4 linked regions of the Saccharomyces cerevisiae S288C genome follow. Changing the gene in region 1 together with any one later gene gives a genetic interaction. Each region holds a gene or a part of one and is shown in the gene's direction. Other genes may lie near its edges.

Region 1 (8,530 bases):
CTGTGTCCAGTACATTATTTATCATCGGAGACTCTTTTTGTGGGACTATCGTTAACAATACATCCCTTAAAGTGTCAAAAAGTGGGACTAGTCTTGACCTGTTATATTGGAATATTTCAGGCCTCTTAGAGTAAACATAAATTTCATTTTGAACATCATTCCAATAGATATTCGCCAATTGTCTTTTTTTATTCCCTCTTTCGCCATCAAGATTTGGCCTGAATTGTAGTAGCGGGTCGAATATTATATCATGTCTTAGTTGTGGGTTTTTCAGAATTTCCTGTAAGTCAATCTCTTTTAAGCCCTGCAAATTTATAGGAGGAAATGGAACAGGCGTTGGAGTAGCCTTTATGTAGTTTATTCTATCTTCCAAAGTTAAGTCAAAGTTTGAGCTTGATAGGAAGCTTTGATTTGTCATTGAAGTGGCAGTGGAATTATTAATGTTGTCATTATTAGCGTTAGTGCTTGCGTTACCTGATATTTGTTGATTTAAAAAAATTGCGCGCTTTAATGAAAGAGGGTTTGAACTGAGAGGATTATTAGAATGCAAATATGGTTGATGATGGTTTCTAGAAAATTTTTTCTTTGATATGCCGGAAGGAGTTGGATGATTTAAAAGAATATTTTGATTACGATAGTATTGATTGTGGGATGATAATTTTCTTAAAGAAGAATGCAAAATAGTGGGTACGGAATGCGACCTCATTTTTTTATTTGAAAAGATCCTTAAAAAGTTAGAAGCATTTCCTGGTGGCTGTTGTTGTGCTGCTTGTTCTTTGTGTGGTTCCGTTGCTGGTGGCAATTGCGGCGCGGATGCAGACGGTGGTTGCTTTGACGACGGTGGTGGGGAGGGAGATGGATTGTTGATATTAGTATAAATATTCTTTGGGGGTATCGAATCAACTTTATTGTTCCTCCTTATTTCTTCTTCATTATCATCGTTTTTCAAGAATTGACCAGTCTTGGTGTCGAACGTCTTGAATATAGTATTGTCCCTGTCTATAGGGATCTTCAAATCACTACTATTAGCTGAATTGCCACTGCTATCGTTGTTAGTGGCGTTAGTGCTTGCATTCAAAGACATGGAGGGCGTTATTACGCCGGAGCTCCTCGACAGCAGATCTGATGACTGGTCAATATATTTTTGCATTGAGGCTCTGTTTGGAATTATATTTTGAGATGACCCATCTAATGTACTGGTATCACCAGATTTCATGTCGTTTTTTAAAGCGGCTGCTTGAGTCTTAGCAATAGCGTCACCATCTGGTGAATCCTTTGAAGGAACCACTGACGAAGGTTTGGACAGTGACGAAGAGGATCTTTCCTGCTTTGAATTAGTCGCGCTGGGAGCAGATGACGAGTTGGTGGAGCTGGGGGCAGGATTGCTGGCCGTCGTGGGTCCTGAATGGGTCCTTGGCTGGTCCATCTCTATTCTGAAAACGGAAGAGGAGTAGGGAATATTACTGGCTGAAAATAAGTCTTGAATGAACGTATACGCGTATATTTCTACCAATCTCTCAACACTGAGTAATGGTAGTTATAAGAAAGAGACCGAGTTAGGGACAGTTAGAGGCGGTGGAGATATTCCTTATGGCATGTCTGGCGATGATAAAACTTTTCAAACGGCAGCCCCGATCTAAAAGAGCTGACAGGGAAATGGTCAGAAAAAGAAACGTGCACCCGCCCGTCTGGACGCGCCGCTCACCCGCACGGCAGAGACCAATCAGTAAAAATCAACGGTTAACGACATTACTATATATATAATATAGGAAGCATTTAATAGAACAGCATCGTAATATATGTGTACTTTGCAGTTATGACGCCAGATGGCAGTAGTGGAAGATATTCTTTATTGAAAAATAGCTTGTCACCTTACGTACAATCTTGATCCGGAGCTTTTCTTTTTTTGCCGATTAAGAATTCGGTCGAAAAAAGAAAAGGAGAGGGCCAAGAGGGAGGGCATTGGTGACTATTGAGCACGTGAGTATACGTGATTAAGCACACAAAGGCAGCTTGGAGTATGTCTGTTATTAATTTCACAGGTAGTTCTGGTCCATTGGTGAAAGTTTGCGGCTTGCAGAGCACAGAGGCCGCAGAATGTGCTCTAGATTCCGATGCTGACTTGCTGGGTATTATATGTGTGCCCAATAGAAAGAGAACAATTGACCCGGTTATTGCAAGGAAAATTTCAAGTCTTGTAAAAGCATATAAAAATAGTTCAGGCACTCCGAAATACTTGGTTGGCGTGTTTCGTAATCAACCTAAGGAGGATGTTTTGGCTCTGGTCAATGATTACGGCATTGATATCGTCCAACTGCATGGAGATGAGTCGTGGCAAGAATACCAAGAGTTCCTCGGTTTGCCAGTTATTAAAAGACTCGTATTTCCAAAAGACTGCAACATACTACTCAGTGCAGCTTCACAGAAACCTCATTCGTTTATTCCCTTGTTTGATTCAGAAGCAGGTGGGACAGGTGAACTTTTGGATTGGAACTCGATTTCTGACTGGGTTGGAAGGCAAGAGAGCCCCGAAAGCTTACATTTTATGTTAGCTGGTGGACTGACGCCAGAAAATGTTGGTGATGCGCTTAGATTAAATGGCGTTATTGGTGTTGATGTAAGCGGAGGTGTGGAGACAAATGGTGTAAAAGACTCTAACAAAATAGCAAATTTCGTCAAAAATGCTAAGAAATAGGTTATTACTGAGTAGTATTTATTTAAGTATTGTTTGTGCACTTGCCTGCAGGCCTTTTGAAAAGCAAGCATAAAAGATCTAAACATAAAATCTGTAAAATAACAAGATGTAAAGATAATGCTAAATCATTTGGCTTTTTGATTGATTGTACAGGAAAATATACATCGCAGGGGGTTGACTTTTACCATTTCACCGCAATGGAATCAAACTTGTTGAAGAGAATGTTCACAGGCGCATACGCTACAATGACCCGATTCTTGCTAGCCTTTTCTCGGTCTTGCAAACAACCGCCGGCAGCTTAGTATATAAATACACATGTACATACCTCTCTCCGTATCCTCGTAATCATTTTCTTGTATTTATCGTCTTTTCGCTGTAAAAACTTTATCACACTTATCTCAAATACACTTATTAACCGCTTTTACTATTATCTTCTACGCTGACAGTAATATCAAACAGTGACACATATTAAACACAGTGGTTTCTTTGCATAAACACCATCAGCCTCAAGTCGTCAAGTAAAGATTTCGTGTTCATGCAGATAGATAACAATCTATATGTTGATAATTAGCGTTGCCTCATCAATGCGAGATCCGTTTAACCGGACCCTAGTGCACTTACCCCACGTTCGGTCCACTGTGTGCCGAACATGCTCCTTCACTATTTTAACATGTGGAATTCTTGAAAGAATGAAATCGCCATGCCAAGCCATCACACGGTCTTTTATGCAATTGATTGACCGCCTGCAACACATAGGCAGTAAAATTTTTACTGAAACGTATATAATCATCATAAGCGACAAGTGAGGCAACACCTTTGTTACCACATTGACAACCCCAGGTATTCATACTTCCTATTAGCGGAATCAGGAGTGCAAAAAGAGAAAATAAAAGTAAAAAGGTAGGGCAACACATAGTATGAATACAAACGTTCCAATATTCAGTTCTCCGGTCAGAGATTTACCAAGGTCTTTCGAACAAAAACATTTAGCGGTTGTAGATGCATTTTTCCAAACATACCATGTCAAACCTGATTTTATCGCTAGGTCTCCTGGCAGAGTAAATCTGATTGGTGAGCATATAGATTATTGCGATTTTTCAGTTTTGCCATTAGCCATTGATGTGGATATGCTTTGCGCAGTTAAAATTTTAGACGAAAAAAATCCATCCATTACCTTAACAAATGCGGACCCTAAATTTGCTCAGCGAAAGTTTGATCTGCCTTTAGATGGTTCCTACATGGCCATAGATCCGTCTGTGTCGGAATGGTCGAATTACTTTAAATGCGGACTACATGTGGCACATTCATACTTGAAAAAAATTGCTCCGGAAAGATTTAATAATACACCCTTAGTAGGTGCGCAGATCTTTTGCCAGAGCGATATTCCTACTGGTGGTGGACTCTCATCTGCATTTACTTGCGCGGCAGCACTAGCCACAATTAGAGCCAATATGGGAAAAAATTTTGATATTTCCAAAAAAGACTTGACCCGCATCACAGCGGTTGCTGAGCACTATGTTGGAGTCAATAATGGTGGTATGGATCAAGCAACGTCTGTTTATGGGGAAGAAGATCATGCTCTATACGTAGAGTTTAGGCCAAAACTAAAGGCCACACCTTTCAAGTTTCCTCAATTGAAAAATCATGAAATCAGTTTCGTCATCGCCAATACTCTTGTAAAGTCTAATAAATTCGAAACTGCTCCTACAAATTACAATTTAAGAGTAATAGAGGTAACAGTTGCTGCCAACGCCTTGGCGACCAGATACAGCGTGGCCTTACCATCTCACAAGGACAATTCTAACTCAGAAAGAGGGAATCTAAGAGATTTTATGGATGCTTACTACGCCAGATACGAAAACCAAGCCCAACCATGGAATGGAGATATCGGAACTGGTATTGAACGTTTACTCAAGATGCTACAATTGGTAGAAGAATCTTTCTCGAGGAAAAAGAGCGGATTCACTGTACATGAAGCCTCTACGGCGCTAAACTGTTCACGTGAGGAGTTCACTAGAGATTACCTGACAACTTTTCCCGTCCGCTTCCAAGTCTTGAAACTATATCAAAGAGCTAAACACGTTTACTCCGAATCCTTAAGGGTGCTTAAGGCTTTAAAAATGATGACAAGTGCCACTTTTCACACGGACGAAGATTTCTTTACAGATTTTGGCCGACTAATGAATGAGTCCCAGGCCTCTTGTGATAAACTTTATGAATGTTCGTGCATAGAAACCAATCAAATATGCTCGATTGCCCTAGCAAATGGTTCTTTCGGCTCCCGTCTCACTGGCGCTGGTTGGGGCGGTTGCACTATCCACCTTGTTCCTAGTGGCGCTAATGGGAACGTGGAACAGGTACGAAAAGCACTAATCGAAAAATTCTACAATGTAAGATATCCGGATCTCACAGATGAAGAACTAAAAGACGCAATTATAGTTTCGAAGCCTGCCTTGGGTACTTGTTTGTACGAACAATAACACTAAACACCTTCTTGGAACAACCTTTAAATATTAAAAGTTTACTCATACCTCTTACACTCTATAAAGAAACAAGTTGGTGAGTCCAATAGAACCCATTCCAGCATCCGATGCAACCATAGCCCGGTTGATGCGAGTCAGAGTGGCTCCGCACACAGAGGTTATGTGACCATGGTAACCGTACACATTTTTCCACGGCAAGGAAGTGGCGCGAAAGAAGCACCGCCCTCCACGGATCACCCCATTTGGAAAAGAACGGAGACATAAAAAAAAATTACCTTCACGCCAGACTATGTATGACTCGTAGAAATCTAGCATCCGCGGAGCTATTTTAAGTTTCCGCGGATGCCTTTCGATCCTTTCCCAGTCGTCTGGTTCCGCGCACATATGACTAAATGTCCGCCCATTTCCGTTTAAATCCGTTTTCTATTTTCTTTAGGTCTTTCCATTGTATTCCCTGCAACCCCGCTGGGTATTGGTATTACTAATAGTGACTACGCAACATCAACATATAAAACAAATGATGAGTAGTGCCCCTCCCTCACCGCTATCGCCTCACCACTTTTTATGCTTGTATATGCTTGTAGATAAATAAATACCTAACGAAAACAATATATACGAACCTAGTGTATTTGTATCTTTTGTTTTTCAAGTTGAAGTGTTGCGAGGTCAAAAAAAAAAAAGCTCACTGTAGGATATAGGAGTTACTATATCACCAGTGCATTACATTCTCAGTGCATCCATCGTCTTCAACATTGATTATTTTCTCCTTCCATTGATTAGAGTTCAAGCTCCCTGAGAAAACGAAGGTATAGCGGACGTACCCGCAGAGACATAAAAAAAGAAAAACTATATCGAAGACCGAAAGCAGTAAAAAAGTGGATAGAATAACACAGCTACCAAAATACGTAAAGAGAATTCAATGAGCAATATCAAAAGCACGCAAGATAGCTCTCATAATGCTGTCGCTAGAAGCTCAAGCGCTTCTTTTGCAGCTTCAGAAGAATCATTTACGGGCATAACCCATGACAAAGATGAGCAGAGCGATACCCCGGCGGATAAACTAACAAAAATGCTGACAGGACCTGCAAGAGACACTGCGAGCCAGATTAGTGCCACTGTGTCTGAAATGGCGCCAGATGTCGTATCTAAAGTGGAGTCATTTGCAGATGCACTATCCCGTCATACAACGAGAAGCGGTGCCTTTAATATGGATTCAGATAGTGACGATGGGTTCGATGCCCATGCCATCTTTGAAAGTTTTGTAAGAGACGCTGATGAGCAAGGCATCCATATCCGCAAGGCTGGTGTTACCATAGAGGACGTAAGCGCTAAAGGTGTGGATGCGAGTGCCCTAGAAGGTGCTACCTTTGGTAACATTCTTTGTTTACCGTTGACCATCTTTAAAGGTATTAAGGCTAAGAGGCATCAAAAGATGAGACAGATCATAAGCAATGTCAATGCCCTGGCAGAAGCGGGTGAAATGATTTTGGTTCTTGGAAGGCCTGGTGCTGGTTGTTCCTCCTTTTTAAAAGTAACAGCTGGTGAAATAGATCAGTTTGCCGGTGGTGTTTCCGGTGAAGTAGCATATGATGGTATTCCCCAAGAAGAAATGATGAAACGATATAAAGCAGATGTTATTTACAATGGTGAGTTGGATGTTCATTTCCCTTATTTAACAGTTAAGCAAACTTTGGATTTCGCTATTGCCTGCAAAACGCCTGCTCTCAGAGTCAATAACGTTTCCAAAAAGGAATACATTGCATCCAGAAGAGATTTATATGCAACCATTTTCGGTCTAAGGCATACCTATAATACCAAAGTTGGTAACGATTTCGTTAGAGGTGTATCTGGTGGTGAACGTAAGCGTGTTTCCATTGCCGAGGCTTTGGCAGCCAAAGGTTCCATTTACTGTTGGGATAATGCCACTAGAGGTTTGGATGCGTCTACGGCCTTAGAATACGCAAAAGCCATCCGTATTATGACAAACTTATTGAAATCAACCGCTTTTGTTACAATTTATCAGGCAAGTGAAAACATTTACGAAACATTTGATAAAGTCACTGTCCTTTATTCTGGTAAGCAAATTTATTTTGGTTTGATCCACGAGGCAAAACCTTATTTCGCAAAAATGGGTTATTTGTGTCCTCCAAGGCAAGCAACAGCTGAATTTTTAACCGCGTTGACTGATCCAAATGGATTCCATCTGATCAAGCCAGGTTATGAAAATAAAGTACCAAGAACCGCTGAGGAATTCGAAACATATTGGTTAAATTCTCCAGAGTTTGCTCAAATGAAAAAAGATATCGCTGCTTATAAAGAGAAGGTCAATACCGAAAAGACTAAAGAAGTTTATGACGAATCGATGGCTCAAGAGAAATCCAAATATACGAGAAAGAAGTCTTATTATACAGTGTCATATTGGGAACAAGTTAAACTGTGTACCCAACGTGGGTTCCAAAGAATTTACGGTAACAAGAGTTATACAGTCATCAATGTCTGCTCTGCAATAATTCAATCTTTTATTACTGGATCATTATTTTACAATACCCCTTCATCCACTTCCGGTGCTTTTTCAAGAGGTGGTGTGTTGTATTTTGCGCTACTATATTATTCTTTGATGGGACTGGCGAATATTTCTTTTGAACATAGGCCAATCTTACAAAAGCACAAGGGCTATTCTTTGTATCATCCTTCAGCTGAGGCAATTGGCTCCACTCTGGCATCTTTCCCCTTCAGAATGATTGGTTTGACCTGTTTCTTTATCATTTTATTCTTCCTATCTGGGTTGCACAGAACAGCGGGATCATTTTTTACCATCTATTTGTTCTTAACCATGTGTTCAGAGGCGATCAATGGTTTATTTGAGATGGTTTCTTCAGTATGTGACACTCTTTCTCAAGCTAACTCTATCTCGGGTATTCTGATGATGTCTATCTCAATGTACTCTACCTATATGATCCAATTGCCTTCGATGCATCCATGGTTTAAATGGATATCGTACGTACTACCTATCAGGTACGCCTTCGAGTCGATGTTAAATGCCGAATTTCACGGTAGGCATATGGATTGTGCTAACACTCTAGTACCCAGTGGAGGAGACTATGATAATTTATCCGATGACTACAAAGTATGTGCTTTTGTTGGTTCGAAACCAGGTCAGTCTTATGTGCTTGGTGATGACTACCTTAAAAATCAATTTCAGTACGTTTATAAGCACACGTGGAGAAACTTTGGTATCTTGTGGTGCTTTTTACTGGGTTATGTTGTTTTGAAAGTGATATTCACAGAATATAAGAGGCCTGTGAAAGGTGGTGGTGATGCTCTTATCTTCAAGAAAGGATCAAAAAGATTT
Region 2 (8,084 bases), on another chromosome or scaffold:
AGAGGAGTTGGTGGGGGGAAGATGCCATTATAGAGGAGAAAAGAACAAAGAGAGTGAGCTTGCAAGATAAAATCACTCGAAAAAAAAAATTTCAGTGACTTAGCCGATAAATGAATGTGCTTGCATTTTTCTAATTATCCTTCGTATCTTCTGGCTTAGTCACGGGCCAAGCGTAAGGGTGCTTTTCGGGCATAACATACTTGTGTTTTTGCATATATTCCTTCAATCCCTTTGGACCTCTTGATCCGTAGGGGTAAATTTCCGGTGTTGGACCGTCCGGACGCTCTATGTGCTTCAGTAATGGGGTGAATATGCCCCAACTGATATCCAATTCGTCATCTCTGACAAAGTTGGAATGGTCACCCAGTAGGGCGTCTCTTATCAACACCTCGTAAGCCTCTGGAATCCAAAAGTCTTGGTACCTGCTTGCGTAAGTTAGATTCAGATCTGTGACTTGGGTAGCATTTGACAGACCAGGGGTCTTAGCATTAAACTTTAGGTACACAGCGGCATCGGGCTGCACTCTGATGACCAGTTCGTTATTTGGAATGTCTTTGAAGACACCCGATGCGACCGCTTTGTACTGCAGTCTGATCTCCACCTTGGACTCATTCAAAGCCTTACCGGCACGCATCATGATGGGGACGCCCTCCCAACGCTCGTTTTCGATGTTGAAAGTCATTGCTGCAAAAGTGACACATTTAGAGTCCTTGTCTACAGTGTCATCATCCACGTAGGCGGGCTTAGACCCGTCCTCAGATTTACCGTACTGGCCCAAGAGGACGTCGTCCGTGTCGATGGGGGCCACGGCCTTTAGAACCTTAACCTTTTCGTCACGAATAGATTCCGGGTCAAAAGACACCGGTCTTTCCATAGTCAAGAGAGTCATGATTTGTAACAGATGGTTCTGCATCACGTCTCTGATTATGCCTATAGAGTCGAAATAGCCGCCACGGCCTTCGGTGCCGAACCTCTCTTTAAACGAAATCTGAACGCTTTGAATGTTGTCTCTATTCCACGAGGCATTCAAAAACTGGTTACCGAACCTCAAGACTAAAAGATTCTTGACCAACTCTTTACCCAAGTAATGGTCAATTCTGTACAACTCTTCTTCTTTAAAGAGGGGCCCCAGGTTTTTTTGCAGCTCCCTGGCAGAGGCCAGGTCGTGGCCGAAAGGTTTCTCTACGATTACACGGGTGATGCCATTCTCTGCGTACACACGACTCTTGATCTGCTTGGCCACCGTCAAAAAAACGCTTGGCGGCAAGGCCAGATAGAAGAGACGGTGTGGGACATCGACGTTGGCACTTTTCTCGAATTTCTCGATCTGCGTTCTTAATTCGTCGAAGCCTTCATCTGTGTCGTAATTTCCCGAAATGTAGCTGACCATCTTGAAGAACTGTTCGACCTTAGAGTCATCGGCTTCACCGTGAGGTTTTTTCAAGTGGGGTAGGACACGGGACTTCAGGTCCTCCTCCATGGACAATTTGGACCGGGCATAACCGAAGATCTTGGTAGATGGATCAAGGTAACCTTCTCTGAAAAGCCCAAATAAGGCGGGAAAAGTCTTCTTCTTTGCCAGATCACCTGACGCACCAAAGACAGATATGACGGTATTTTTTTCGAATTTGACGGGGCCTTCACTCATCTTGCCTTATGTGGTTTTCTATTCTATTGGATTTACTCTTTCTGTCTATACAGCCAATTGGAGAGGGGGAAGGGGGAGAAGGAGGGGTGAGTGGAGAAAAGGGAGAGAGGGGCAGGAGGAAGCCACTTTAGGTGTTATGTGTCGGTATATAGATGAACCCACAGTTTGCTTATATATGGGATAGCCTTGGCGAGTTTTCCGTACATTGAAGAATTCGCCACCCTTAGAAAAGGGGCCACCACACCTTGAGCCAAAAATCCCACATTAATAATATTCCATTTTTTTTTTAGTCATTTTTTTTTTTTTCGTCTCTCTTCCTCCTCCGGCCGAGCCGAAACCGGGCTTTTAGCACCGTTGGAAGCTTGTATCTCCGCGTAAGACCGCCGGAGTATGCATCTTATAGCGGTTTTTCCAGTTCTTTTCCACTATTACGTGGTGCTTCCAGTAGCGCTACTATTATTGTTGTTCTTGCTATTATTTAAATGTCACTATGTACTTGATACACACAGTTTGTGGTGATTTCACGCTTATGTACACGGGTGCAAAACTACACCTTACTTACCAGGTGCTCCCAACAGAGACGAGATCCTTTTCGACGGCCTGCTTGACGGGCGCGAAGACGTACTCTAGCGAAAGCGGGCGGGCTGCCGCCTCTTCTAGCTTGGGTCCCAGGGTTAGAGGATCTACCATTGCTAGCTCCTCTCCGTGACGCTTATTCAGTGTCTGAACCAACTGCTTCCGCTTGAGACTGTTTTGCTCGCCATTGAGTAGGCCACCACCGTTCATGCATGCACCCGGACACGCGTTTACCTCGATGTAGTCCGAGTGGTAGGGATCGGCCGTGGCGGCCGTGGCGGCCGCCATCTCGCGTGAGTTCGCCTTTGGACCTGTTCGTCTCTTCCGCAGAGCGGTGATGTTCCTCTTGCGCTCTGACCCGGAGCCCGAGGTCAGTTTACGCACCAGATTTTGGATGTTTCTAAACCCGGAAAGCTCGCTGGCGGCGGCTATTATGCGATCATCGTGCAGCAATCGGTACTCGACAATGTCGCTGTTTCTACCCTCCAGAACTATCATCTGACTTCCTGGGTGTAGTCGTTGGACAGCCGTTACGTACTGGTAGGCATAGCCACCACAAGTGCCTCCCAGATTCGACGCCCAGTGGACTCGCGGGTCCCATCCCGGCGGTGATAGCCGCCCATATAAACTTGTGTCCTCAGTAAGAAACGACTTGAAGTCTAAATTCAACTCTTGTAACATTGTCACTATTTCACGTGGCGTAATGACACAGTCAATCCCATCGTCAAGCGATTCTGGCCTTGACGCTTCTAGTTTCTTGTCAAAACATGGCATCAGCGACAGATGGTAAAAGGACTCACGCGCGATAGCGAGACTCTCGAACGTAGCTCTGATCAACGAGCCCGTAATTTGCTGAGGCGACTTGACATTGAGCAGCATAGGCACCAACTGCGGTTTGGTCTTTTCCGTGTATATAAGAAATCCCGGACACACAGCAGATAATAGAGGCTTGCGGTCCGCACCGGTATTTTCTTTTTGTTTCTTATGCGCAATGATCTTCTCTACGGTTTTGCTAATCGATATGATTCTGCCCATCTCCGTTCCAACCATATACTTGCACTGGAAATGCTTTTGGAAAAAATTCATCAAACACAAATCGGCCGCCTCCAATGTTAAGCCGTAGTACTGCGCAAGAGATAGTCTGCATTGTGGCGAGACACTCACAACGAGGAATTTGTCTTGCTGCTGCGAAAGCTTCCCCCAGTTTTTCAGGAAAACCGAGTGACTTTGGCTACTCAACAAGATTTCTTCACTAGACGTTATACAACCAGAACACGCGAGGCAGTCTGATAGGGTAATAGAGACCTTCTCCAGTTGGTCTGGTTCCGTGCTCACCTCGTATTCTCCGTTCATGTTAACGTTATCCTTCTTGCCCCCGCTCACCTGGGTAGGTTTGACGCACGCAAGGGCGGGACTGATAAAATCGTTTAGGTCAGACTCGGACAGTAGAGCACTCATGCTTTCTTGTACACTTATCTTGTCACTCAGGAAAAGGAAGCTCCCTCTCTTATCTTTCCAGCTGACAAGACAAGTTTCTTAGTCATCACCATAAAACGCTTTTATCATTTTTTTCTTCATGCGATGAGCAGGGAAAACTGGTAAAAAAAGAAAATAGGAAGTGGAAAAGAAAAAACTAGCGGAAAGGCAGGCAATATGCTTTACAAACAGGCAAATTTTGTCTCTTAATCCTGTGAAGAGGCATCGTATATTCAGTGCTTTTTGAAATTTAGAAAATAGTCGCTTTATTGATTATGCTACATATGTTATTTTGCTTTAGTATGTGTCAAATAGCATGCAATCGCCGGGTAGTGAGTGACACATCCTTTTTTCCCCTCCCACCAGAAAGTCACCTGCTCTCTTAATCAATGGGGTTGCATGTGGTAATCAATTGATAACGCCGGCTGACAAGTCGCCGACGGGCACCCATAAATAAACGATAAATAGCCCTTGCTCTTTTGTTACATGCTTCCTACTTCTGTTTCCCGGTCCTTGTATCTCAAGACGTTTAGAAGCCACCTTTTACGAGCACCACAAATTGTTTTAAAAAGAATGTCCTCTTCCATCGATATCAGTAAGATCAACTCTTGGAACAAAGAGTTTCAATCCGACTTAACCCATCAATTGGCAACCACTGTCCTTAAGAATTATAATGCCGATGATGCACTGTTGAACAAGACTAGACTGCAAAAGCAAGATAACAGGGTTTTCAACACTGTTGTCTCTACTGATTCCACTCCAGTCACCAACCAAAAAAGCTCTGGTAGATGTTGGTTGTTTGCCGCTACCAATCAACTGCGCTTGAATGTTCTTTCTGAATTGAACTTAAAAGAATTCGAACTGTCCCAAGCTTACTTGTTCTTTTACGATAAGTTGGAAAAGGCCAACTATTTCTTGGACCAAATCGTCTCCTCGGCTGATCAAGACATCGACTCACGTCTCGTGCAATACTTGTTAGCAGCTCCAACAGAAGACGGTGGCCAATACAGCATGTTTTTGAACCTAGTCAAGAAGTATGGCCTTATCCCCAAAGATTTATACGGGGATCTACCTTATTCTACTACTGCGTCCAGAAAATGGAATTCTCTGTTGACTACTAAACTGAGAGAATTTGCCGAGACTCTAAGAACAGCTTTGAAAGAGCGTTCTGCCGATGATTCCATAATTGTCACTCTGAGAGAGCAAATGCAAAGAGAAATCTTCAGGTTGATGTCGTTGTTCATGGACATACCTCCAGTGCAACCAAACGAGCAATTCACTTGGGAATACGTTGACAAAGACAAGAAAATCCACACTATCAAATCGACTCCGTTAGAATTTGCCTCCAAATACGCAAAATTGGACCCTTCCACGCCAGTCTCATTGATCAATGATCCAAGACACCCATATGGTAAATTAATTAAGATCGATCGTTTAGGAAACGTCCTTGGCGGAGATGCCGTGATTTACTTAAATGTTGACAATGAAACACTATCTAAATTGGTTGTTAAGAGATTACAAAATAACAAAGCTGTCTTTTTTGGATCTCACACTCCAAAGTTCATGGACAAGAAAACTGGTGTCATGGATATTGAATTGTGGAACTATCCTGCCATCGGCTATAATTTACCTCAGCAAAAGGCATCGCGTATTAGATACCATGAAAGTTTGATGACTCATGCTATGTTGATCACTGGCTGCCACGTCGATGAAACGTCTAAATTACCACTTCGCTACCGCGTTGAAAATTCCTGGGGTAAAGACTCCGGTAAAGACGGATTATACGTGATGACTCAAAAGTACTTCGAGGAGTACTGCTTTCAAATTGTGGTCGATATCAATGAATTGCCAAAAGAGCTGGCTTCAAAATTCACCTCAGGTAAGGAAGAGCCGATTGTCTTGCCCATCTGGGACCCAATGGGTGCTTTGGCCAAATAAATAGTTTCAGCAGCTCTGATGTAGATACACGTATCTCGACATGTTTTATTTTTACTATACATACATAAAAGAAATAAAAAATGATAACGTGTATATTATTATTCATATAATCAATGAGGGTCATTTTCTGAAACGCAAAAAACGGTAAATGGAAAAAAAATAAAGATAGAAAAAGAAAACAAACAAAGGAAAGGTTAGCATATTAAATAACTGAGCTGATACTTCAACAGCATCGCTGAAGAGAACAGTATTGAAACCGAAACATTTTCTAAAGGCAAACAAGGTACTCCATATTTGCTGGACGTGTTCTTTCTCTCGTTTCATATGCATAATTCTGTCATAAGCCTGTTCTTTTTCCTGGCTTAAACATCCCGTTTTGTAAAAGAGAAATCTATTCCACATATTTCATTCATTCGGCTACCATACTAAGGATAAACTAATCCCGTTGTTTTTTGGCCTCGTCACATAATTATAAACTACTAACCCATTATCAGATGAAAGTGAGGAAATATATTACTTTATGCTTTTGGTGGGCCTTTTCAACATCCGCTCTTGTATCATCACAACAAATTCCATTGAAGGACCATACGTCACGACAGTATTTTGCTGTAGAAAGCAATGAAACATTATCCCGCTTGGAGGAAATGCATCCAAATTGGAAATATGAACATGATGTTCGAGGGCTACCAAACCATTATGTTTTTTCAAAAGAGTTGCTAAAATTGGGCAAAAGATCATCATTAGAAGAGTTACAGGGGGATAACAACGACCACATATTATCTGTCCATGATTTATTCCCGCGTAACGACCTATTTAAGAGACTACCGGTGCCTGCTCCACCAATGGACTCAAGCTTGTTACCGGTAAAAGAAGCTGAGGATAAACTCAGCATAAATGATCCGCTTTTTGAGAGGCAGTGGCACTTGGTCAATCCAAGTTTTCCTGGCAGTGATATAAATGTTCTTGATCTGTGGTACAATAATATTACAGGCGCAGGGGTCGTGGCTGCCATTGTTGATGATGGCCTTGACTACGAAAATGAAGACTTGAAGGATAATTTTTGCGCTGAAGGTTCTTGGGATTTCAACGACAATACCAATTTACCTAAACCAAGATTATCTGATGACTACCATGGTACGAGATGTGCAGGTGAAATAGCTGCCAAAAAAGGTAACAATTTTTGCGGTGTCGGGGTAGGTTACAACGCTAAAATCTCAGGCATAAGAATCTTATCCGGTGATATCACTACGGAAGATGAAGCTGCGTCCTTGATTTATGGTCTAGACGTAAACGATATATATTCATGCTCATGGGGTCCCGCTGATGACGGAAGACATTTACAAGGCCCTAGTGACCTGGTGAAAAAGGCTTTAGTAAAAGGTGTTACTGAGGGAAGAGATTCCAAAGGAGCGATTTACGTTTTTGCCAGTGGAAATGGTGGAACTCGTGGTGATAATTGCAATTACGACGGCTATACTAATTCCATATATTCTATTACTATTGGGGCTATTGATCACAAAGATCTACATCCTCCTTATTCCGAAGGTTGTTCCGCCGTCATGGCAGTCACGTATTCTTCAGGTTCAGGCGAATATATTCATTCGAGTGATATCAACGGCAGATGCAGTAATAGCCACGGTGGAACGTCTGCGGCTGCTCCATTAGCTGCCGGTGTTTACACTTTGTTACTAGAAGCCAACCCAAACCTAACTTGGAGAGACGTACAGTATTTATCAATCTTGTCTGCGGTAGGGTTAGAAAAGAACGCTGACGGAGATTGGAGAGATAGCGCCATGGGGAAGAAATACTCTCATCGCTATGGCTTTGGTAAAATCGATGCCCATAAGTTAATTGAAATGTCCAAGACCTGGGAGAATGTTAACGCACAAACCTGGTTTTACCTGCCAACATTGTATGTTTCCCAGTCCACAAACTCCACGGAAGAGACATTAGAATCCGTCATAACCATATCAGAAAAAAGTCTTCAAGATGCTAACTTCAAGAGAATTGAGCACGTCACGGTAACTGTAGATATTGATACAGAAATTAGGGGAACTACGACTGTCGATTTAATATCACCAGCGGGGATAATTTCAAACCTTGGCGTTGTAAGACCAAGAGATGTTTCATCAGAGGGATTCAAAGACTGGACATTCATGTCTGTAGCACATTGGGGTGAGAACGGCGTAGGTGATTGGAAAATCAAGGTTAAGACAACAGAAAATGGACACAGGATTGACTTCCACAGTTGGAGGCTGAAGCTCTTTGGGGAATCCATTGATTCATCTAAAACAGAAACTTTCGTCTTTGGAAACGATAAAGAGGAGGTTGAACCAGCTGCTACAGAAAGTACCGTATCACAATATTCTGCCAGTTCAACTTCTATTTCCATCAGCGCTACTTCTACATCTTCTATCTCAATTGGTGTGGAAACGTCGGCCATTCC
Region 3 (7,995 bases), on another chromosome or scaffold:
TGGTACATCACCCTCACAGAAGACTTGCAGCCCGGCCAGAGGAGCACTGGCAAACCTTTCCGGTGCAAGTTTCTTTAGAAAAGAGTGAGCAACATGGAGACCACATTTAAAGTAATTAGACCAGTCCGACACAGAAGGATCAATTGTGACATAAGAACCGTCCAACGGCAAATCGAACTTCCTTTGAGCAAATTTGGGATCAGCATTTATTAAGGTAATGGATGGATTTTTCTCGTTCAAAACTTTGACGGCGCAAAGCATATCAAAATCAATAGCTAAAGGTAAAACCGAGAAGTCACAATAATCAATATGTTCACCAATTAGATTGACTCTACCAGGCGATCTAGCAACAAAATCCGGTTTAGCATCATAAGCGCTTATAAATTTCTTAATTATGCTCGGGCACTTTTCGGCCAATGGTCTTGGTAATTCCTTTGCGCTAGAATTGAACTCAGGTACAATCACTTCTTCTGAATGAGATTTAGTCATTATAGTTTTTTCTCCTTGACGTTAAAGTATAGAGGTATATTAACAATTTTTTGTTGATACTTTTATGACATTTGAATAAGAAGTAATACAAACTGAAAATGTTGAAAGTATTAGTTAAAGTGGTTATGCAGCTTTTCCATTTATATATCTGTTAATAGATCAAAAATCATCGCTTCGCTGATTAATTACCCCAGAAATAAGGCTAAAAAACTAATCGCATTATCATCCTATGGTTGTTAATTTGATTCGTTAATTTGAAGGTTTGTGGGGCCAGGTTACTGCCAATTTTTCCTCTTCATAACCATAAAAGCTAGTATTGTAGAATCTTTATTGTTCGGAGCAGTGCGGCGCGAGGCACATCTGCGTTTCAGGAACGCGACCGGTGAAGACGAGGACGCACGGAGGAGAGTCTTCCGTCGGAGGGCTGTCGCCCGCTCGGCGGCTTCTAATCCGTACTTCAATATAGCAATGAGCAGTTAAGCGTATTACTGAAAGTTCCAAAGAGAAGGTTTTTTTAGGCTAAGATAATGGGGCTCTTTACATTTCCACAACATATAAGTAAGATTAGATATGGATATGTATATGGTGGTAATGCCATGTAATATGATTATTAAACTTCTTTGCGTCCATCCAAAAAAAAAGTAAGAATTTTTGAAAATTCAATATAAATGACAGCTCAGTTACAAAGTGAAAGTACTTCTAAAATTGTTTTGGTTACAGGTGGTGCTGGATACATTGGTTCACACACTGTGGTAGAGCTAATTGAGAATGGATATGACTGTGTTGTTGCTGATAACCTGTCGAATTCAACTTATGATTCTGTAGCCAGGTTAGAGGTCTTGACCAAGCATCACATTCCCTTCTATGAGGTTGATTTGTGTGACCGAAAAGGTCTGGAAAAGGTTTTCAAAGAATATAAAATTGATTCGGTAATTCACTTTGCTGGTTTAAAGGCTGTAGGTGAATCTACACAAATCCCGCTGAGATACTATCACAATAACATTTTGGGAACTGTCGTTTTATTAGAGTTAATGCAACAATACAACGTTTCCAAATTTGTTTTTTCATCTTCTGCTACTGTCTATGGTGATGCTACGAGATTCCCAAATATGATTCCTATCCCAGAAGAATGTCCCTTAGGGCCTACTAATCCGTATGGTCATACGAAATACGCCATTGAGAATATCTTGAATGATCTTTACAATAGCGACAAAAAAAGTTGGAAGTTTGCTATCTTGCGTTATTTTAACCCAATTGGCGCACATCCCTCTGGATTAATCGGAGAAGATCCGCTAGGTATACCAAACAATTTGTTGCCATATATGGCTCAAGTAGCTGTTGGTAGGCGCGAGAAGCTTTACATCTTCGGAGACGATTATGATTCCAGAGATGGTACCCCGATCAGGGATTATATCCACGTAGTTGATCTAGCAAAAGGTCATATTGCAGCCCTGCAATACCTAGAGGCCTACAATGAAAATGAAGGTTTGTGTCGTGAGTGGAACTTGGGTTCCGGTAAAGGTTCTACAGTTTTTGAAGTTTATCATGCATTCTGCAAAGCTTCTGGTATTGATCTTCCATACAAAGTTACGGGCAGAAGAGCAGGTGATGTTTTGAACTTGACGGCTAAACCAGATAGGGCCAAACGCGAACTGAAATGGCAGACCGAGTTGCAGGTTGAAGACTCCTGCAAGGATTTATGGAAATGGACTACTGAGAATCCTTTTGGTTACCAGTTAAGGGGTGTCGAGGCCAGATTTTCCGCTGAAGATATGCGTTATGACGCAAGATTTGTGACTATTGGTGCCGGCACCAGATTTCAAGCCACGTTTGCCAATTTGGGCGCCAGCATTGTTGACCTGAAAGTGAACGGACAATCAGTTGTTCTTGGCTATGAAAATGAGGAAGGGTATTTGAATCCTGATAGTGCTTATATAGGCGCCACGATCGGCAGGTATGCTAATCGTATTTCGAAGGGTAAGTTTAGTTTATGCAACAAAGACTATCAGTTAACCGTTAATAACGGCGTTAATGCGAATCATAGTAGTATCGGTTCTTTCCACAGAAAAAGATTTTTGGGACCCATCATTCAAAATCCTTCAAAGGATGTTTTTACCGCCGAGTACATGCTGATAGATAATGAGAAGGACACCGAATTTCCAGGTGATCTATTGGTAACCATACAGTATACTGTGAACGTTGCCCAAAAAAGTTTGGAAATGGTATATAAAGGTAAATTGACTGCTGGTGAAGCGACGCCAATAAATTTAACAAATCATAGTTATTTCAATCTGAACAAGCCATATGGAGACACTATTGAGGGTACGGAGATTATGGTGCGTTCAAAAAAATCTGTTGATGTCGACAAAAACATGATTCCTACGGGTAATATCGTCGATAGAGAAATTGCTACCTTTAACTCTACAAAGCCAACGGTCTTAGGCCCCAAAAATCCCCAGTTTGATTGTTGTTTTGTGGTGGATGAAAATGCTAAGCCAAGTCAAATCAATACTCTAAACAATGAATTGACGCTTATTGTCAAGGCTTTTCATCCCGATTCCAATATTACATTAGAAGTTTTAAGTACAGAGCCAACTTATCAATTTTATACCGGTGATTTCTTGTCTGCTGGTTACGAAGCAAGACAAGGTTTTGCAATTGAGCCTGGTAGATACATTGATGCTATCAATCAAGAGAACTGGAAAGATTGTGTAACCTTGAAAAACGGTGAAACTTACGGGTCCAAGATTGTCTACAGATTTTCCTGATTTGCCAGCTTACTATCCTTCTTGAAAATATGCACTCTATATCTTTTAGTTCTTAATTGCAACACATAGATTTGCTGTATAACGAATTTTATGCTATTTTTTAAATTTGGAGTTCAGTGATAAAAGTGTCACAGCGAATTTCCTCACATGTAGGGACCGAATTGTTTACAAGTTCTCTGTACCACCATGGAGACATCAAAAATTGAAAATCTATGGAAAGATATGGACGGTAGCAACAAGAATATAGCACGAGCCGCGGAGTTCATTTCGTTACTTTTGATATCACTCACAACTATTGCGAAGCGCTTCAGTGAAAAAATCATAAGGAAAAGTTGTAAATATTATTGGTAGTATTCGTTTGGTAAAGTAGAGGGGGTAATTTTTCCCCTTTATTTTGTTCATACATTCTTAAATTGCTTTGCCTCTCCTTTTGGAAAGCTATACTTCGGAGCACTGTTGAGCGAAGGCTCATTAGATATATTTTCTGTCATTTTCCTTAACCCAAAAATAAGGGAAAGGGTCCAAAAAGCGCTCGGACAACTGTTGACCGTGATCCGAAGGACTGGCTATACAGTGTTCACAAAATAGCCAAGCTGAAAATAATGTGTAGCTATGTTCAGTTAGTTTGGCTAGCAAAGATATAAAAGCAGGTCGGAAATATTTATGGGCATTATTATGCAGAGCATCAACATGATAAAAAAAAACAGTTGAATATTCCCTCAAAAATGACTGCTGAAGAATTTGATTTTTCTAGCCATTCCCATAGACGTTACAATCCACTAACCGATTCATGGATCTTAGTTTCTCCACACAGAGCTAAAAGACCTTGGTTAGGTCAACAGGAGGCTGCTTACAAGCCCACAGCTCCATTGTATGATCCAAAATGCTATCTATGTCCTGGTAACAAAAGAGCTACTGGTAACCTAAACCCAAGATATGAATCAACGTATATTTTCCCCAATGATTATGCTGCCGTTAGGCTCGATCAACCTATTTTACCACAGAATGATTCCAATGAGGATAATCTTAAAAATAGGCTGCTTAAAGTGCAATCTGTGAGAGGCAATTGTTTCGTCATATGTTTTAGCCCCAATCATAATCTAACCATTCCACAAATGAAACAATCAGATCTGGTTCATATTGTTAATTCTTGGCAAGCATTGACTGACGATCTCTCCAGAGAAGCAAGAGAAAATCATAAGCCTTTCAAATATGTCCAAATATTTGAAAACAAAGGTACAGCCATGGGTTGTTCCAACTTACATCCACATGGCCAAGCTTGGTGCTTAGAATCCATCCCTAGTGAAGTTTCGCAAGAATTGAAATCTTTTGATAAATATAAACGTGAACACAATACTGATTTGTTTGCCGATTACGTCAAATTAGAATCAAGAGAGAAGTCAAGAGTCGTAGTGGAGAATGAATCCTTTATTGTTGTTGTTCCATACTGGGCCATCTGGCCATTTGAGACCTTGGTCATTTCAAAGAAGAAGCTTGCCTCAATTAGCCAATTTAACCAAATGGTGAAGGAGGACCTCGCCTCGATTTTAAAGCAACTAACTATTAAGTATGATAATTTATTTGAAACGAGTTTCCCATACTCAATGGGTATCCATCAGGCTCCTTTGAATGCGACTGGTGATGAATTGAGTAATAGTTGGTTTCACATGCATTTCTACCCACCTTTACTGAGATCAGCTACTGTTCGGAAATTCTTGGTTGGTTTTGAATTGTTAGGTGAGCCTCAAAGAGATTTAACTTCGGAACAAGCTGCTGAAAAACTAAGAAATTTAGATGGTCAGATTCATTATCTACAAAGACTGTAAAAAGAAAGTGGAATATTCATTCATATCATATTTTTTCTATTAACTGCCTGGTTTCTTTTAAATTTTTTATTGGTTGTCGACTTGAACGGAGTGACAATATATATATATATATATTTAATAATGACATCATTATCTGTAAATCTGATTCTTAATGCTATTCTAGTTATGTAAGAGTGGTCCTTTCCATAAAAAAAAAAAAAAAGAAAAAAGAATTTTAGGAATACAATGCAGCTTGTAAGTAAAATCTGGAATATTCATATCGCCACAACTTCTTATGCTTATAAAAGCACTAATGCCTGAATTTATGTTGAAAATATGTGTCACAAATAAAGAAACTGTGACATCTGACACATTTCCACTTTATTGACAAGAATAGAATTTCTTTAAGTTTCCCCTCTAGATTATTTATTTTCAAATTTTAGGCTCTGTTGAAGTTTATTACGTAGAAATTCCTACGATAGTTATTAGTCCTAATTGGATGTTGCAGCAAGGCTCATTGTCGGTGTCGTTATCGATGGAAATCCTGCACCTATGTTATTACCCTCTTTTCGTAGTTTTCTGATCCGGGTTATAGAGTTTTGCTTAAAAAAAGGTTATGTTTAAAAGTATGAAAAACTTTTCAGTATTAATTATGCAGAAGAGCAGTGAATAGTAATAATACATATCAGAATATTCCGCAGTCTTTGGTTTTCAGAATTGTTAGCAGTAGTTAAGTGAATAAAGATGGCATCGACATGGAAGCCCGCCGAAGACTATGTGTTGCAACTAGCAACTCTTTTACAGAACTGTATGTCACCAAATCCAGAGATTCGTAATAACGCAATGGAAGCTATGGAGAACTTCCAGCTGCAACCTGAATTTCTCAATTATTTGTGTTATATTTTAATTGAAGGCGAATCTGATGATGTATTGAAGCAACACTACTCCCTACAGGATCTTCAGAACAATAGAGCTACCGCCGGTATGCTGTTGAAAAATTCAATGCTAGGGGGAAACAATTTAATTAAGAGCAATAGCCACGACTTAGGATACGTCAAATCAAACATTATACATGGCCTTTATAATTCGAACAATAATCTCGTTTCGAACGTGACAGGTATCGTTATTACTACTTTATTTTCCACTTACTATAGGCAGCATAGAGATGATCCAACTGGTCTTCAAATGCTTTACCAGTTGCTAGAGCTAACCTCAAATGGAAATGAGCCAAGTATTAAGGCTTTATCTAAGATCATGGAAGACAGCGCTCAATTTTTCCAATTGGAATGGTCGGGAAATACGAAGCCTATGGAAGCCTTATTGGATAGTTTTTTTAGGTTTATTTCGAATCCAAATTTCTCACCTGTGATTCGCTCAGAATCGGTGAAATGTATAAATACAGTGATCCCGCTACAAACACAAAGTTTTATTGTGAGATTAGATAAATTCTTAGAAATTATTTTTCAGTTGGCACAAAACGACGAAAACGACCTAGTTAGGGCACAGATTTGCATTAGTTTTAGTTTCTTATTGGAATTCAGACCAGATAAGCTGGTTTCCCATTTAGATGGTATTGTACAATTCATGTTGCATTTGATCACCACTGTAAATGAGGAAAAAGTGGCTATTGAAGCCTGCGAGTTTTTGCACGCCTTTGCAACGAGCCCAAATATTCCTGAACATATCTTACAACCATATGTTAAGGATATCGTGCCAATATTATTATCGAAAATGGTCTATAACGAAGAATCCATCGTTCTCCTGGAAGCTTCTAATGATGATGATGCATTCTTGGAGGATAAAGATGAGGACATCAAGCCCATTGCACCCCGTATTGTGAAAAAGAAAGAGGCAGGAAATGGAGAGGATGCAGATGACAACGAAGATGATGATGATGATGATGATGATGAAGATGGCGATGTTGATACGCAATGGAATTTGAGAAAATGTTCCGCGGCAACGCTAGATGTAATGACGAATATTTTACCTCATCAAGTGATGGATATAGCGTTCCCATTTTTAAGAGAACATTTGGGTTCTGATAGGTGGTTTATTAGAGAAGCTACTATATTAGCACTGGGGGCCATGGCAGAAGGTGGAATGAAGTATTTTAATGATGGCTTACCAGCACTAATACCATTTTTAGTGGAACAATTGAACGATAAGTGGGCACCAGTGAGGAAAATGACATGTTGGACATTAAGTAGGTTTTCACCATGGATATTACAAGACCATACTGAGTTTTTAATTCCAGTCTTAGAACCTATAATAAACACATTAATGGACAAGAAAAAGGATGTTCAAGAGGCGGCTATTAGTAGTGTAGCAGTATTTATTGAAAACGCCGACTCCGAATTGGTTGAAACTTTATTTTATAGTCAATTATTGACGAGTTTTGATAAATGTTTGAAATATTACAAGAAAAAGAATTTAATTATATTATATGATGCCATCGGCAGGTTTGCTGAAAAATGTGCATTAGACGAGACAGCGATGCAAATAATTTTGCCGCCCTTAATTGAAAAATGGGCTTTGCTGTCAGACAGTGACAAGGAGCTGTGGCCACTTTTAGAATGTCTTTCCTGCGTGGCATCATCACTGGGGGAAAGATTCATGCCTATGGCACCAGAAGTGTACAACAGAGCCTTTAGAATTCTATGTCATTGTGTCGAATTGGAAGCCAAATCACATCAAGACCCGACAATAGTAGTGCCTGAGAAGGACTTCATCATCACCTCATTAGATTTGATTGATGGATTGGTACAAGGTCTTGGCGCTCACTCGCAGGATCTATTGTTCCCTCAAGGGACGAAGGATTTAACGATATTGAAAATCATGCTAGAATGTTTGCAGGACCCTGTCCATGAAGTAAGACAAAGCTGCTTTGCCCTGTTGGGAGATATTGTATATTTTTTCAATTCGGAACTGGTAAT
Region 4 (7,221 bases), on another chromosome or scaffold:
CTAATGCCTATACTACTATCAACAGTAAGAAAAGATCATTAGAAGATAATGAAACTGAAATTAAGGTATCACGAGACACATGGAATACTAAGAATATGCGTAGTTTAGAACCTCCGAGATCGAAGAAACGAATTCACCTGATTGCAGCTGTAAAAGCAGTAAAATCAATCAAACCAATACGGACAACCTTACGATACGATGAGGCAATCACCTATAATAAAGATATTAAAGAAAAAGAAAAATATATCGAGGCATACCACAAAGAAGTCAATCAACTGTTGAAGATGAAAACTTGGGACACTGACGAATATTATGACAGAAAAGAAATAGACCCTAAAAGAGTAATAAACTCAATGTTTATCTTCAACAAGAAACGTGACGGTACTCATAAAGCTAGATTTGTTGCAAGAGGTGATATTCAGCATCCTGACACTTACGACTCAGGCATGCAATCCAATACCGTACATCACTATGCATTAATGACATCCCTGTCACTTGCATTAGACAATAACTACTATATTACACAATTAGACATATCTTCGGCATATTTGTATGCAGACATCAAAGAAGAATTATACATAAGACCTCCACCACATTTAGGAATGAATGATAAGTTGATACGTTTGAAGAAATCACTTTATGGATTGAAACAAAGTGGAGCGAACTGGTACGAAACTATCAAATCATACCTGATAAAACAGTGTGGTATGGAAGAAGTTCGTGGATGGTCATGCGTATTTAAGAATAGTCAAGTAACAATATGTTTATTTGTTGACGACATGATTTTATTCAGCAAAGACTTAAATGCAAATAAGAAAATCATAACAACACTCAAGAAACAATACGATACAAAGATAATAAATCTGGGTGAAAGTGATAACGAAATTCAGTACGACATACTTGGCTTAGAAATCAAATATCAAAGAGGTAAATACATGAAATTAGGTATGGAAAACTCATTAACTGAGAAAATACCCAAATTAAACGTACCTTTGAATCCAAAAGGAAGAAAACTTAGCGCTCCAGGTCAACCAGGTCTTTATATAGACCAGGATGAACTAGAAATAGATGAAGATGAATACAAAGAGAAGGTACATGAAATGCAAAAGTTGATTGGTCTAGCTTCATATGTTGGATATAAATTTAGATTTGACTTACTATACTACATCAACACACTTGCTCAACATATACTATTCCCCTCTAGGCAAGTTTTAGACATGACATATGAGTTGATACAATTCATGTGGGACACTAGAGATAAACAACTGATATGGCACAAAAACAAACCTACCGAGCCAGATAATAAACTAGTCGCAATAAGTGATGCTTCGTATGGCAACCAACCGTATTATAAATCACAAATTGGCAACATATATTTACTTAATGGAAAGGTAATTGGAGGAAAGTCCACCAAGGCTTCATTAACATGTACTTCAACTACGGAAGCAGAAATACACGCGATAAGTGAATCTGTCCCATTATTAAATAATCTAAGTTACCTGATACAAGAACTTAACAAGAAACCAATTATTAAAGGCTTACTTACTGATAGTAGATCAACGATCAGTATAATTAAGTCTACAAATGAAGAGAAATTTAGAAACAGATTTTTTGGCACAAAGGCAATGAGACTTAGAGATGAAGTATCAGGTAATAATTTATACGTATACTACATCGAGACCAAGAAGAACATTGCTGATGTGATGACAAAACCTCTTCCGATAAAAACATTTAAACTATTAACTAACAAATGGATTCATTAGATCTATTACATTATGGGTGGTATGTTGGAATAGAAATCAACTATCATCTACTAACTAGTATTTACATTACTAGTATATTATCATATACGGTGTTAGAAGATGACGCAAATGATGAGAAATAGTCATCTAAATTAGTGGAAGCTGAAACGCAAGGATTGATAATGTAATAGGATCAATGAATATAAACATATAAAACGGAATGAGGAATAATCGTAATATTAGTATGTAGAAATATAGATTCCATTTTGAGGATTCCTATATCCTCGAGGAGAACTTCTAGTATATTCTGTATACCTAATATTATAGCCTTTATCAACAATGGAATCCCAACAATTATCTAATTATTCACCCATTTCTCAAGATGATAGTTGATTTTTATTCCAACATCATTAATAAAAATCTCAGACTTTCATGGGTGGTAGAAAAGCATCTTCCATGGTTTGTTACCTTCTTTCCAGTAAAAGTATTTCATTAAAATTTGGTCTCTTGGCCCAGTTGGTTAAGGCACCGTGCTAATAACGCGGGGATCAGCGGTTCGATCCCGCTAGAGACCATATTTTTTTTGAAAATCTTTTTGTCTTTTTGTTCAACTTAAAGAATGAATGAATGCCAACTCAGCTTTGCGGGCCTCCAATATGTACCACATGTTGGTAATTGTTCATACTTTTTTAAAAATATAGACAAATTTTAAGATAATTGTTGGAATTACATTGTTGTTAAAGGCCGCAATATTACGTGGAACGAATATGCTGCAATTCTCCTCGAGAAAAAATAGGAATCTACAAAAAGCGAATTGATAGCTCTACATAATAATGTTACTCTATCTTCTTCCTTTTATACTTTGTCATTCTTTATTTTATTACATTATCAACCCTTGAATTTCAGCTTCCATTAGATTTGATGACTATTTTCAATGTTTATGACATCTTCTTATATTGTATATGATAATATATTAGTAGTATGACAGCACACTAGTAGCAGCAGTACTAGTCGATGGATGATCGTTTATTCTTCTTTCAACACGTTCTAAGTATTCTCATTTTATCCTTCTTATATTCCGCTGCCGCCTGTCGCTACTCACTCTACAACCAAGGTAAGGACTACCTACAACAAGAACATGATGATAAACATTGACATGCACCTTCCAATCGTCATTTATATTCGAAAAGAACAAGAATAGGACATTAAATCAACTTACTCTTCCAACATCCCTCATTGGGACGGTTAATTAGTTCAAAAAAATGTTAAAAAATATGGTTCAGGACACACTCCATCCCCGAGGGAACGGCCACAATGTGCGAGTAAATCCTGATGGCACCGCCAAATTAAACCGCCGAAGCGATCAACTTGCACAATTATCCGACTGATATGTGCTATCCCGGCCGCCTCCATCACGGGTCACCTTTGCTGACGCTGGATAAAACTCCCCTAACAGCGGTGAAGGTGGAGCCCCTAAGGACCCAGAACTACCTTGCCGCACCAGACAGAGAGACGGATTCCTCACGCCTCCTGCCAACGGGCTGCCCGCAAAGATCGATTTATTATAGCCGGGACACTTCAGAACGGACTCTCCCGCCTCCGGGCAGACAGCTCTGCCCAGGACAAATTTACGACGGAGGAAAGACGGTTGCCACAACAGGGCACGGTGCGGAATAGAGAACTATCCCTTGCCCAAAGGGCGTGCAATCCGTGTCTAGCCGCGAGGAAGGATTTGTTCCTCGGCCAGAATTCTCAACGTATCCCATCCCACCAGAAAGCCATTACAGCCTAGCACAATTGGAATAAACTTTCGATTTTATACTCCATTTTCTTTCCTTTACACAGAAAATTTGTCAGAAGATTTTCAATGAAAAGTTCCTGGCGATGAGGTTGACACTAATACAATATAGTCATCGTAAGTTTGTTAAAAGAATACCGAGGGTTGTTATAACAAGGAATGTGTGAATCATCAAATAAGACTGAAAATGATATAGTCAGATTGTCACAAGCTATGGATGTCCTGGCTAAGTTGATCATTTCAAAGCAAAAAGATGGATCACAATTACAAGTTGAGTACGAGCATAAGTTGAAAGAATTAGAGAAATTCATTAACCTACTACTGGGATTGCATGAAAGCACTGTGGGAAGTATGATGAATACTAGTGTTCTTGACATGGTACTGCGGAATGGAATAGAGATCATGGAAAAAGACGATCAAAAATATGCCCTGATACCGATTAAAGCCAAGGAAGAGGCAGATAAAACTACGAGCACTATTCAGGGAGTAACCAGCAAAAAGAGTAGTAAAAAGAAAAAAAATAAGATAAAATGTTCATTTTGTCACGAGGCTGGCCACACAAGGGCACACTGCGGTGCGAGACTGACAGTTATACCCAAGAAATAATGAAGGGATCATCGAAGCATTAGACCTACATCTACCTTACTAAGATTGTAAGTACATAGCATGTGTACTGATGTGTTCAGTAGCATTCTTCCATATATTATACTACATAAGGTATGTAAATTTATGTATTTATATATGGAAAAAAGAAATTGAAAGAAAAGAAAAGGAAAGATACTTAGTTATGAATCAATCAGAATACGCATATAACAAAAAAAAAAAGTGGAATGAGAAAGGAATAAAGGATAATCTTTTCCCCTATATTTTTGTATTGGTTTTTTTTTGGCAAATATTTTCTTGTTTTCTGTAATTCATGTCATTTATTGGTAACTCATTTGCCAAGAACATTATCGGAAAAAATAAGTTTACCCTCCAATTGCTGCTTTAGTCGTAAAGGTATGAATTTACTGCTTTTCTTGTTCTTGTCTTTGTTTTAGAACTAATGGGTGGCCTGTTACTCTGAAGTAAATATCTTTAACATCGTCAGTCATGGATTCGAAATGAGAGGATGCGTCGTATGATCTGGATAAGTAAATGTTATCCTTAGAGCCGTCTTCTCTTGGTTCAAATAATTCGGCAATTCCCATGAATTTTTCTTCGATTGGTCCCAGAAGTTTGAAAGCAGGCTCTAATTCTATATGTGGTTTATCAGTTTCAATGATTGTAGAAATAATTGCTAAATAGTGACCCTTGGAGCAAACGTTATGCGCATCTGAAACAATCGCAACGTATATATCGCTTTTCCTTCCCAGTTGGCTTTGTGGGATAATAATTTGTAAAGAATCCGCGTTACTGGTGTTCGGAACTGGATGGTTAAGAATACAGATGGCTCTAATAACTCTTTGACCAGTAGATTTACATTTTTCGGGAAAATAAGTTGGATCAGCAATAACCAATGGGGCCTTGAAAGTTCCCAGCTTAGTCTTGACCCCTTCAAATTTTCCTGTGTCTTTTTTATACAATACTTCATCAATTGGAGTGTCTAGCATGTAAGTACCACCGTAAATAGCCGACAAACGAGCAAATCCTTGTGGAAGTTCGCCTAACCCATACATAGGATACAAATAAGGTGATTTACCGTAACGGGCAACACTTTGGCAATATAACAAAATCCTCTCAAACGATGGCCTAGCAGGTTGTTGTAAGTAGTCATCATTGGTCCATAAAGCCATTGCATGACCGATGAATTCTTTGGTAGAATTGCCTAACCCAAATTTATAATACACTTCATCCATGGTATTCTTGTCTAAGTCTAATCCTTGATGAGTGGACAAGTCATCTTCTTTGTAAGAGCTAATCCATTCTAAAAATTTCTTCATTCTACGTTTTTCAAAAATACCCATCAATGGCGATGAAATGGCTTCTATTTCATTAGCTGGCACTTTGTAAATTTTGCCTTGCTTAAAAACGTAGGAGCCAGAAACTTGCTTGAAATCGACATATCTGGTCACATCGGTATGTATTAAAATATTTGTCAGCTCACCATTGGCCATCAGGAATTTAGGAATTAAGTCGACATTCCAATCTCTATCTTTACCAAACTTGGACTCCCGTTCCTCTTTACTGATCGGATTTTGTTTAAATTTTTCATACAATTGAGATAAGGTCACAGAAGCAGCTTCGCCACCATAATGGTCTTGCTTGTCAATATGTAATACCTTTTTTCCATCTACAGAGAGTAAACCAGATAAGATACATTCGGTAATACCGGTACCTAAGACAATCACGTCGTAGTCAGTGTCTATTGTTTCTTGATCCATTGTGTTATGCTATATAAGTGGTTATTCACTAACAGTTATGATGGAAGGGGAGTAAAGAAAAGGAAAAGACTAATTGCAGTCCTGCTTTGAAAAATATCCTTCCTTGAAAAAAGACTATGTTAGAAATTTGATGGGACGACGTCTCAAGCAAGAATGAAGTAGAACCTTTTCTACTAACAAAATCGGGATAAATCAGCCGACGTGTTGAAACTACATCTACAATCCCTCGCTGAAGCTTCCCACGGCCAAGATTTTGGAGCCCACAGGAGAGGGGAAAACACCGCCAATGTGAGATAAACGATTCAAACATAAGGGTAACCTAAAGATAACGGTTTTGAGCGTTTACGGCCTACTTTACTATGCAACAGCAGATGTTGGATAATAGAGAAGTTTGAGTGATAGATTGTAGAAAGTACAAGAATATGGGTGTATTACGGGAGTTAACAGAGGTATGTACTTTATCAAATGTGGTCTGATATTTTTTTCTTGAAAACAGTCTTGGCTATGTAATTTTTTAAGTTTTGCGCCTTTAGCTCATGTTTAGTTTCTGGTGGGGGAAGCGGTAATTATTTTAAAGTAGCCAACATAAGCAAAATATATGGAGAAAAAGAAGAATACCGTCGGAACCGCTAAAAGTATGTTTTTGTTACAGGATTGTAAAGCTTGTATCGCTTGGCAAGAGTTTGATTGGCCATTCTTGTAACTATTAGTTATTAAGCGGATTTGTCTCTTTTCAACTAGTTTCGAAGATGTCTCAAGAGATTGGAAGTAAACATTGCTTAGTATGAAAGGAATGCCCTTTGTAAATTAACGTAAATTATAACGTTTTCGAAAAAAAAAATTGATTTCGCCCAGGATCGAACTGGGGACGTTCTGCGTGTTAAGCAGATGCCATAACCGACTAGACCACGAAACCTAATTTGTTGAAAAAGTTTCATTAAAAAATAGAATATATCTACAATTCTTAAGATTTACACATGAAATTGTGGAGATGAAGCTCTAAAATATCATTGCTCAGTTATATCGTGTAATTAGTGTATTATCACGTACGGTGTAAAGAGGATGACATGAAAATCGAGAAATAGTCATCAAACCTCTTATCCCGAAAATGACAATACGTCAGGAACATATACACCACTTAATGAAGGGTAATTGATTATATCCCAATAAAGTGAATCTTAGTTTATTCGAAGTTAGTTGTCGATTGTCGTTTGAATATCCCCTTTGAGTTTAACGACCACAAATGCAAGGTTGATTAAAATCTTTCAAGCATGACATGGACTTTAAGAAACTTACATAATTCACAGAAAAAGGTCTT

What was found.
Region 2: mutations in GAL3 (region 1) and LAP3 together harm fitness more than expected from each alone (negative genetic interaction), as found in Saccharomyces cerevisiae (one study listed by BioGRID).
Region 3: of GAL3 (region 1) and GAL7, changing one enhances a phenotype caused by changing the other (phenotypic enhancement), as found in Saccharomyces cerevisiae (2 studies listed by BioGRID, with this or other methods).
Region 4: mutations in GAL3 (region 1) and YER137C together harm fitness more than expected from each alone (negative genetic interaction), as found in Saccharomyces cerevisiae (2 studies listed by BioGRID).

Annotation. Positions count from the first base shown.
Region 1 is NC_001136.10:459,822-468,351, forward strand, and holds GAL3 (transcriptional regulator GAL3), read left to right. Parts: upstream 1-3,612; coding exon 3,613-5,175; downstream 5,176-8,530. Other genes in the region: SOK1 (Sok1p), read right to left, coding at 1-1,426; phosphoribosylanthranilate isomerase TRP1, read left to right, coding at 2,021-2,695; YDR010C (uncharacterized protein), read right to left, coding at 5,230-5,562; ATP-binding cassette transporter SNQ2, read left to right, coding at 6,098-8,530.
Region 2 is NC_001146.8:196,296-204,379, forward strand, and holds LAP3 (bleomycin hydrolase), read left to right. Parts: upstream 1-4,273; coding exon 4,274-5,638; downstream 5,639-8,084. Other genes in the region: ZWF1 (glucose-6-phosphate dehydrogenase), read right to left, coding at 131-1,648; iron-sulfur cluster assembly protein NAR1, read right to left, coding at 2,207-3,682; kexin KEX2, read left to right, coding at 6,133-8,084. UniProt on the Saccharomyces cerevisiae protein: The normal physiological role of the enzyme is unknown, but it is not essential for the viability of yeast cells. Has aminopeptidase activity, shortening substrate peptides sequentially by 1 amino acid.
Region 3 is NC_001134.8:271,515-279,509, reverse strand, and holds GAL7 (UDP-glucose:hexose-1-phosphate uridylyltransferase), read left to right. Parts: upstream 1-3,982; coding exon 3,983-5,083; downstream 5,084-7,995. Other genes in the region: GAL1 (galactokinase), read right to left, coding at 1-489; GAL10 (bifunctional UDP-glucose 4-epimerase/aldose 1-epimerase), read left to right, coding at 1,158-3,257; KAP104 (Kap104p), read left to right, coding at 5,807-7,995.
Region 4 is NC_001137.3:438,298-445,518, reverse strand, and holds YER137C (uncharacterized protein), read left to right. Parts: upstream 1-3,699; coding exon 3,700-4,146; downstream 4,147-7,221. Other genes in the region: GDI1 (Gdi1p), read right to left, coding at 4,548-5,903; YER135C (uncharacterized protein), read left to right, coding at 7,175-7,221.